Linked DNA regions of Saccharomyces cerevisiae S288C. The gene in region 3 interacts genetically with the main gene of each other region. Each region holds a gene or a part of one and is shown on either strand. Other genes may lie near its edges. The genes, in order: UGA4, YBR062C and YGR054W.

Evidence for each region.
Region 1: mutations in YGR054W (region 3) and UGA4 are lethal when combined (synthetic lethality), as found in Saccharomyces cerevisiae (one study listed by BioGRID).
Region 2: mutations in YGR054W (region 3) and YBR062C are lethal when combined (synthetic lethality), as found in Saccharomyces cerevisiae (one study listed by BioGRID).

What each region holds. Positions count from the first base shown.
Region 1 is NC_001136.10:82,502-86,263, reverse strand, and holds UGA4 (Uga4p), read right to left. Parts: upstream 1,995-3,762; coding exon 279-1,994; downstream 1-278. Other genes in the region: active spliceosome conformation promoter CWC2, read left to right, coding at 1-57. UniProt on the Saccharomyces cerevisiae protein: Required for high-affinity, high-specificity GABA transport. Also transports putrescine.
Region 2 is NC_001134.8:365,403-368,195, reverse strand, and holds YBR062C (uncharacterized protein), read left to right. Parts: upstream 1-1,595; coding exon 1,596-1,611; intron 1,612-1,693; coding exon 1,694-2,220; downstream 2,221-2,793. Other genes in the region: CNM1 (Cnm1p), read left to right, coding at 12-1,226; tRNA methyltransferase TRM7, read left to right, coding at 2,477-2,793.
Region 3 is NC_001139.9:594,679-598,440, reverse strand, and holds the start of YGR054W (translation initiation factor 2A), read right to left. Parts: upstream 1,749-3,762; coding exon 1-1,748. Other genes in the region: MCO32 (Mco32p), read left to right, coding at 2,604-3,455; protein kinase FMP48, read right to left, coding at 3,736-3,762. UniProt on the Saccharomyces cerevisiae protein: Functions in the early steps of protein synthesis of a small number of specific mRNAs. Acts by directing the binding of methionyl-tRNAi to 40S ribosomal subunits.

The DNA.
Region 1 (3,762 bases), on a different chromosome or scaffold from region 3:
TCTGTTGGTAAGCTTGGTGGTCCCTTGCTCGATTACCTCTCCTCTGATGAGGATTAGAGAAGAAAATCGTTTCCACCAAATTCTAAGTATCTGCCATTAACATTCCCGCTGAGCTGATCATAAATTATCCGCGCTTCTTGATTTTTATGTTTGGGCGCAGAAAACAAGCTAAAACGGTGAGATAGGATAAACTATAATATAATTAAATTAAAAATACTGACTATATAAGCTAGACCTTATAAACTCTGAATATAAAATCTTTATAAAGGTTTGAACATTTATGGTTCCTGTTTGGACATAATTGTGTCGATAACATCAGCACCAACGGCTTCAGTATAATCATCATCCGACAAATTGGTTGCTGGACCGTGGTAGTATTTCTTCTTGTAAACTTTGTAGTAGATACCTGCAAGGATCCAGATACCGGGACCAATAACGCATGCATAATTCATTGTGGATTTAGTAATACCATGTTGTTGAGAGGGGAACATAACCAAAATAATAATGAACAATTGGAAAGCAACACCTGTCCAAGCAACAATTGGAGACCAGATTTTACCCAAATAAAATGGACCAGGTCTAAATAAATCTCTACCTGATGTTAAACGGAAAACTGTAGGGGTACTCCATGCCAAATTGTTTCCTGCAACAGCCAGACTAAATAATGCATCAGTGGCGGCATCATCAATCAAACATAACAATCCTAAAATCAAGGAACCTACACAGGCAGCCAAAATAGCGAAAAAAGGGACCGAGTATTTAGAATCCACTCTTTTAATATACTTTGATAGGGGCAAACCGTTATCACGGGAAAATGCCCAAACTTGTCTAGAAACAGCTGTGGTAATGGAAGCACCCATTAGAAATTGACAGAATGCGATCAATGACATAAATGCAATGGCCCATTTTTTTCCTAACGAATCATAAATTATTTGAGCCAAAGCAAAGCCGTACTTGGAGTCCAAAACGCTGTCAATATCAGGGTTGATACAGGCCATTAAACAAATAATAATCAACCAACCTAAAATCCAACAAACAGCAATAGATGAGATTATACCAATGGGGACTGATTTCTTGGCATCTTTGGCTTCTTCAGATTGATGGACACATGAATCAAAGGAACCAATAGTCCAGACAGCAGGCATGAAACCAGCAAGACAAAATTGCCAACCATTATTCCAGTCACTTAAGTTTTCATATTTCCCAAATATAAAGTCACCATCATTGAAACCTCCCATTCTATGCTTGGTACCAATCGGTAGCGCAATGAACAATAAAACAATAATGAAAAGATTGGCAAATATACTTAGCGTCTGCAGACGAGCAATGGCCCCAGAAGCAACACATGTACAAATACACATAACCACCACTGCTCCAGCAAATATACCGTAAAGTTTCCCACTCGTTACTTCAAAATTTCCATCTTTGGTTAATGTGACAGCAGCAGCAATTTCCTCAGCCAAACCGTAATCAATGGAACACACACCGGCTGCCAACGCTAGGGAGTTTGAGCAACCAATAATAAAAGAAATAATCTCTTTATAACCTTCTGGAGCATAGTAATACGTCCAGTAGTACAAACCACCAGCGGTAGGAATGGAACTTGCATGTTCAGCCATGGTAATACCCACCAGTAAAATGAAAAACGCAGCAACGAACCAACCCCACACTAATGTTGCTGGACCACCACCGAGCCCACCACCCATCACAGATGCAATGGAGGGCAATAGACCCATAATGGAGAACGCAATACCGAAAACTTGTAATGTTGAAAATTGTCTTTTTAATTCTTGTTTATAACCGATCTCTGCAAGCAGTTGGTTATCATTTACAGATTTAGCAGCATCGATATAGTTCACTTCACCGGCACCAGTCTTGGAGCGAATCGACCTTAGGTTAGACCCAAGGCCTTGTAACTGGTAAGCCTGACCGATATCAGTGGATATTCTTTGTTCTACTGATATCTTATTCTCGTTTTTGCTTGACATACTCATTGTTAGTAATAATAAATTATAAGACCTTGTTACACTTCACAACTGAAGTAAACAGCTTATACTGTTTTATATAATCACAACAAGAAGGAAAGGACCATGCCAGTCAACAGAATACGTTTGAACTACTTCTTAATATATATGCATTTGTTATTCAAGAGTAAGCCGTATTCGCTATCATTATCACTGAGCACAATCTCACATCAAGATTCTAACCCAAAGAAGGAACTGATTACTGTGCCAAGCCGCGTTATCCGACTTAAAATTAGTAGGTTCTCCCCTTATTCGATAAACGTACATGGGTACGTGCACCGGTATTGGACCATCGAAGGCCCTCACCTCCATGGTAATAGATTGCAAAATCCAACATGACATAAAACATCTCGAAATTGCCGCCGGCGGTTTTTGGCGCACGATAAGCGATAAGCGATTAGCGATAAGAGTACCTTAGTAAGATGCCTAGGAAAAAGAAAATAAGATACGCAAGCCGCGGTTAAACAATGATATAGAGTTGCCTGATCAGTAACCACTAAAGAGAAAAATAGATCCCAAAAAATCAATCATTTCAATGATTGAAGAAATTGTCATTCACAATAAACACTGGAAATGAGTGCAAAGTGGAAAACAATGTGGAAAAAGAAAAAAAATTAAACTTGCGCAAGCCCGGAATCGAACCGGGGGCCCAACGATGGCAACGTTGGATTTTACCACTAAACCACTTGCGCTAAGTGAACTTGAAAACGGGAGCGTTGGATAACAACTAATACAAGACTGTTGACAACAATTCTGCGAGAGTAACTTGTCGTCAACACTTATTATCATTTTGAATCACAGAGGGTGCTTATCCTCTTGGAATAAATGGTCTACATCATTCTAAATGGTAGAAGCATGGAAGCCCAGACGTTAACGAGTTACACAGGTGTTTATATGTTTAGATTTATGTATGTAGCAACGCTAAGCTATCTCATCTTGAGATACAACACGAAAAATGGAATGAACAGATCACCTAACAGTTAAACCACTCTAACAGTTACTATTAGAGTGGTTAAATGTAAACTCTTGTGCAGTAAATAAGAACTAACCTTAAACCTTCACTAACGAAAGTGCTACTAAAAGGTACCTCAGCAATGGATTTCTGTTTCCAGACTGTTTTGAAAGTACAGGCCATTCATTATAATGACTGCGGTTTATTCAAGGCAAACCATCCGACATGCCTCAAGAGTTACTGGAAAATGAGGTGGTCTCCTTGTTATACAGAGACTGACTATTGCTTCGTCTCAAGCTTTGTAAAAGGTACCCACCCTTCTTGAAGTCACCAGAGTTAAAACCAACCTCTTGGTTTCGAGAGGTTGAAGTCTCTCAAAATGTAACATTTAACTATAACATCAGTCGTATGTTATTACTGGATGAAAGATACTGGTATCACTGCTCTTTGCTTCGCATGCTGTCACAAATTGTCGTTGTGAGCTCTCTTAGTTATTTGAATTAGTGATAAGATATTCACATATCTTACTTGCTTCTTCTTACATCAAAGAAAAAACATAAGCATGATAAATAAAAAATGCAAGATCCGCTCTCAAATTCTTTACAACGAATTCTTTGTTTAGACTAAACGATAAAGAAATTCTTCTGCAAACATAATCAAAGAAACTGTGCAGGAAATGAGAACGGCAAGAAAAATATTGGTGGTGCAGTTATGGACTGACTATCCGTATTCCGACATCAAAATGATACCGTACTTAGTAGATTTGCGCCATTCAAAATTAATACG
Region 2 (2,793 bases), on a different chromosome or scaffold from region 3:
AAAACTAAAATATGGAGGAACTAGGTTTAAAAAGCACTTTTCCATATGAATATGGCTCAGACTTTACAATGATAAGAACGGAAATGTTAAATACTACGAAGAGCGAAACAACTATTTTATTTTCCAATATAAAGAGCATTTTGGCCATTATTTGGAAATACTCATTTACATTTTTAAGATCTTTTTCCGATTCCATCAAACTTATTATTGACGATGTTGTCACTATTGGCTCCCGAAATTTTGCAGAGAGATTACAGATTGAAGCGAAAAAAAACAATGACCAAGAAGATATCTGGGCATCCACAATAATTTTGGGTGTGATTATCGGGTATTTAATCTCTTCTATTAAGAGAAAGAACACTTTTCCAATAATGCCTACGAGCTCACCTAAAATAGATGATTGTAGGTTCAAGACTGGTGATACCATATCCATTGTAATAAACTTTAATGAAGACTGCCTCAATAATCGAAGTGACGTTACCGAAGAGAGAAATTATGAGGAATCCACAGTTTTACATTCAAAGGAGTCAGTTCTCAGCATTGGTAGGCAAAATATGGTAACTTTGAACCAAAGCGATGAAAATTTCACCTATGGCAATTTTGATGAGTACGACTTATTAACTAAAGATTATACAACAGAGGTCTTAACGCGATCACCTGGCTCGAATCCCGAGTTTAAAGCAGTGGTAAATAATACATTACTTGATAGCGCGAATGAAACGCCGTTTAAAGGTATTGAAAAAAGTATTAACGAAACAATGGTTAAAGTTCCTATGGGATGCGATGTATCTCTCTCCCATTATGGCAGACAATACGCGCCTGGAAATATTTCAATTATGAGAAGCTTCACTGCTCGAGATAATACTAAATCTGTGAGTAGAGAAATTCGTGATATCTGTAAATCGTTTTTGATTATAAAAAGCCAATTTGGTGACGAACTTTTCCTGACTATGTTCATGGAAAAACCAGTTTTCTTTGATAACAACATCCCAATTGAAATAACTGGAGCATACCGAGAAAAACGAGAGCGATTAGATGAAGTGATTCATAAGGATCTTATCCGCTATGATGAAGTTCAAAATTTGACAAGGATTCGCAATTTGCTCCGGGTTAAAAGTCAAAAGATTTGTTCCAGGAGACATAATAGTTCGGTTCCCACAAAAAAATTGTTAGTTAATGATAAAGGCGCAACTTCGATTCTACTGTGGTACTCTAACTATTCATAGATAAAGTTTATTTGATACATAATCCGGAAAATGTAAGATATGCCAACTGTTAACTAGAAAACATCTGTACTCTATATATCGGAAACAAAAACTTTACGGGTACAACCATGATGAATAAGCTCGAAATTTTTGCCTTCCATATGAGTCCCATTTTGGTGACCAACTCTCCTACCCGAATTACTGTGATGATATATACTCTTCGTTTTCTAGTAATGGCTTCATTTTGCCTAAGTTGGTCAAAATTGTTGTGGGCGGCTTTTGTTTGCACCGAGGAGCGCTCAGTTCGTTATAATACCAGTTTTGCCACTCCTAAACTACTAAAGAAATAATAGAAAGATATATTCATCAAACATAATCACAATCAAAAAAATGTCTACATATGAAGGTATGTAATGATATATTATGAAGTAAGTTCCCCAAAGCCAATTAACTAACCGAATTTTAATCTGCACTCATCATTAGATTAGAGGAACATGGAATACAACAAAACTCAAGGGATTACCAAGAAGTAGGAGGAACTTCACAGGAGGAGCAGAGAAGACAGGTCAGATCCCAACTGCAAGGTCTATTTCAAAACTTTGGTAACACCAGTGGTGAGGGTGATGCACATTCAGATTCAACACTACTTTTACGATTATTATCGCAAATGCTTCCAGAATCATTACAGGAAGAATGGTTGCAAGAAATGGATAAAGGCAAGAGTGCGGGCTGTCCTGATACTTTTGCAGCCTCTTTACCACGAATCAATAAAAAAAAGCTCAAAGCAACTGACAACTGCTCCATTTGTTACACTAATTATTTAGAAGATGAGTACCCCTTAGTAGTTGAATTACCTCATTGCCATCATAAGTTCGACTTAGAGTGTTTGTCTGTCTGGCTATCTCGAAGTACAACATGTCCATTATGCAGAGATAATGTTATGGGCCACCGAATCATTAATGAGATTGATACAACTGAAGCAGAACTGGAAGAAGATTGGGGTATGTACGGTTAATATCTTTCTTTTATATTATATAAAGACACCAAACCTAAGTAGAATAGGTAACTACGTCTTCTTTCACAGAAGACAGACCTACAAGTATTTTGATTATCATGATGAAGTAAAAGCAACGATAAACTTTTTACTAGGTATTATTATTCTGCGCTAACAATAATTATCGCGAGTTGAAAATTTTCAAGCGATGCTCCTAACATTACTGTAAAACAACAGTAGATGAGTACAAGGCAAGCTTAAAAAGAAAGTATTCAAGATGGGTAAGAGCAGCAAAGATAAAAGAGATTTGTACTATAGAAAAGCAAAAGAGCAGGGCTATAGGGCTAGATCTGCTTTCAAACTACTTCAACTCAATGACCAATTTCATTTCCTGGATGATCCAAACTTAAAAAGAGTTGTAGATTTGTGTGCAGCACCAGGTTCATGGTCACAAGTGCTCTCGAGAAAACTGTTTGATGAAAGTCCCAGTTCAGATAAGGAGGACAGGAAAATTGTCTCTGTCGATTTACAACCGATGTCCCCCATACCTCATGTGACAACGTTGCAAGCCGATATCACTCATCCTAAAACATT
Region 3 (3,762 bases):
TTGTTTGTGGGGGCATTTGTGGAGGCAGGAGCAGATGGGGCCGGAGTAGAATCAGGTGACGTTTCACTTGACTTTTTATTGGCTCTTCTTCTCCTGTTCTTGGTGTTGGCGTCCTTGTTGGCACTCATGCCCGGAACTAGCCCTGGGATGGTCTTCTTTGCTGCACCAGGAGGAACTCCGGGGACAATACGTCCACCGCCTGTTCTTCTTGCGTGAGGTGGTTTATAAGCGCCTCCAGCTTTGGCCTTAGATCCGTTTCCATTGGAGCTTGCTTCTCTGCTTGGGTGTTGACTTATGTACTCTTGAACGCTAGAATGTATTTGCAATTCTGATTTATTGGATATTTTAGGATCAAGTGAAGATGTGGTCGAATCAGGTAGCGGTTCCCAGTTATTAATGATATGGTTCTCGAAAAATGCTTCGTCTTTGTTTTCCAAAGTTTTGTAATTACATGGTGACCTCCAGTCTACCTTCAAAAGCTCCTTGAACTCTTTAACAAATACTAAAGAGCCTGATACATGCCATATTTTAACGCCGTTATCCACTCTCAATCTTGGTGAAGTGGTAGCTGTCATGATAAATTCTCCACCCGGTGACCATTTGCAGACAGAAGTGTTGGTAGCGTCAAATTTACTCACACACTTGAATTTGTCGAGACGATCTAGGATTTCCACGGAGCCCTGTAAATTACCAAACCCGGCGATAAGAATGTAATGACCAGAGGGAGAGAAAAGCATGGTATTTTTGGCTTGTTGAGGTAATGAATGGACAACATTACCTCTTAAGTCAAAAAAGGAAATGGTTGCTGGCATGTAACCAGCGATGACACCGAATTGCCTTGAAGTTGGCGACCAAGTGAAATCGTGGACAGGTCCAGTGGTTAAAGAAACACGTACAGAGTTACCACCCAAAGTCCCGTTGACACCTTGGAAAGACAGTAAGTATAGTGTGTTTTCACCATAATATGATTTGTTTGAGGAATCAAAATCAGTAATAGCTAAACATAAAATAGCATTACCTAATGGATTCCATTTCAATTGGCAGGAATCAGCTTTAAAGAAAGTTTTGGAGGCAATTTTCTTGGTGATTTTACCTTCAGAGAGGGCCCATATGATTAATTGAGCCGGTTTACCACCCTTTTCTGGTGTGAAAGTACAAATTGTTGGATGTTCAGCTGGAGAGATTAGGTAGGTGGTGAAATGTTGGGACGTTTCATCATCAGACAAGACAGCAAACGGAGATTGGAAGTCGAAATTGTCGGCATTAGCGGAGCTTAATTTAACAATCTTCAAGTCGTGTTTAAAAAGTCTTAGCCCATAATTGTCTAATTTGGAGAATTGTAAAAACCAACCGCTTTGGGATTTGGCTTGATATTCGTAAGCAGGGACTATATCCTCCGAAACGCAATCTTTCTTAAATGGTTTATTCAAATACCAAACTTTAACGTTCTTGTGATTTGGGTCTTGTATAGACGCTCTCTCCCAAGTGCTTAAGTAGTTACCTGCTGGAGAGAAGTGTAGGTCATAGACGTCGGACAACTTCATTGTTAATAGAACGTTATCCAAACATGGACCTGTAAAAACTTTGACGTTCTCCTTCGTAGATAAAGCCAAAAATCTGCCACATGGCGATAAAACCGAGGAAATGACAGGGAAATCCTTGGAGTTTGTGTTGGATTGCTCAAAAGTTGGGTAGCTTTGGAAGAGCTCTATATCCTGAGAGGTTTTCAGGAAAAACTGAGATGACATAATGTTTAGGTGTTATTGAACCTGACTGTTTGTTGTAGTACTATGTTTTTTTATCGAGATGCAATGGATAGTTTAAACACAACACGTCTCAATCAACACTAAAGAAAGTTATGATTCGGTAATCTATAGGTTGCTTCTACCGTAAAGAATTCTCGCTATGTCTAGTCGTCTGGATAGATCGAGGAAAAGGAATCTTCATTGAATAACGTACACTGAAAATAAATCGCTATGAAGCTGAAATTTCATTGATGGACATGAAGAAAGCGAAGTGAAAAAAAGGAAGAAAAAGAAAGTATTGAGGAACATTCTGCGGTCGGGTAATAATATCGTACAGTATGACAGCGGCAATTTTTAATAATATTTCTGCTCACTAATAAAGTAAAGAATATAAAGAAAGGACCTTAATCTAAGATAGATGTTACTTTTTCATCTTGCAGTTTTAACACATAGAACCGAGTCTAAACATATTGAAATATTTCGATTTCTTTTGTACGAGTGCTATAAAAATGGGAAAGAACTAAAAAAAATAGGACACAACATTAACTGCCTGAGTTTCTTGAGGAAAATATTAAAAGAAATATTAGTTAAATAAATAGATTTGGTGAGATGTATTTCTATACACTGAAAGACATTCATACGCATCTCATGATGAGTCGAGCGCCTTGCGTTAAGAAGGCGCGTAGTTACGGTTACGAAAAAAATGAATAGAATACAATGTAGAGAGCGCCCTTAAAAGGCCCATAAAGAGGGATGACAGGTATGAGCCATAAAGCTGCAAGCCTCTACGGAAAACGATACATCACAACCAAGGAAAGATAGACAGTTTATATTCATAGATAATAGGGGGAAAGACTTATGTTACTAAAGTGTGTTTGCAGAGCCGGCATAATATCTATCAAAGGAATCTTTCCTCGATGGTACTCCAATTCTCAAAAAGTGGCCAATTTGGGGCAAATAACAGATTATTTAGTGGTTAAAGGTGTTCCCAATTTGTTACAAAAAATGTTCAAGGAGTCAGTGTTGGCGGATAACGTTGTTTTTAGACTATTTCCAACATCGCATCCATATATTCCAGTGTTACATGGAAAATCAAAATACATGGCTTCTTTGAATGCAATGCGAATGATAGTACGAAAGTTTATCTTGGGCGATGAATGTCGCTTGCATATAAGTTCAGTAAAGACTCTAACATCGACATCGCATGATGAAGAAGTTAAATCTGCTCTTCAGAGTTATAATACCATAACATGTAATGACAAATTGGTGATCAAATGGCAAAGCTGCATACCGGAAGACCATTGCAAGATTACCAAATTAGAAATTAATGACAGATTGAAAGAGGAGAAACGAGGCAATGGTGCAGGCGGTTCATTTTCAATGAGGTCGGTACCAGTCATAGACTACATTTTACATCCTACAGCCAATAATTTGAACCAAAGTGTTATCTCTGAGTACCTTGAAAATGCAGCTGAAAGGTCAATGGAAAATAAGGTCAACGAAACTCAAAATTCCAAAGAAGATGAGAAGAAGAAAAATGATGGCGACGGTAAAAGAAGTAAAAAAAAGAGATTATCCCGGCTGATTAAGGGAACATTCATATTCGAATTTAACGAAGAAAATTCGAAAATTCTGGTTCATACCATTGAAGATGTTGAACTGATCCATTACGAGAAGAAAATTGCCACTCGCGGTGCATTTGCATGTTAATACGATATACAAGAATTAGATAGCATCTTTATTTGTAAATAATAAACACACCATCATAAACATCACCATCAACCTTGCACAGGAGAAAAAAGGAATAAAAAGGATAAATTGATTATGATTATTTTTTAAAAAAATGAATATGTAATATTATTTTATGTCGATTAGGTAGTATGTAATACTGAAATTATGCCAAAGTTCCTAACTAAAATTGGATAAGCAGGGGATAAAAAGTCAGATCAAGGAAAATGAGGCGAAACTTTCAAAAGGTCTTTTTTACTTCTTATTTTCCATCTTGAATTAGGCAAGG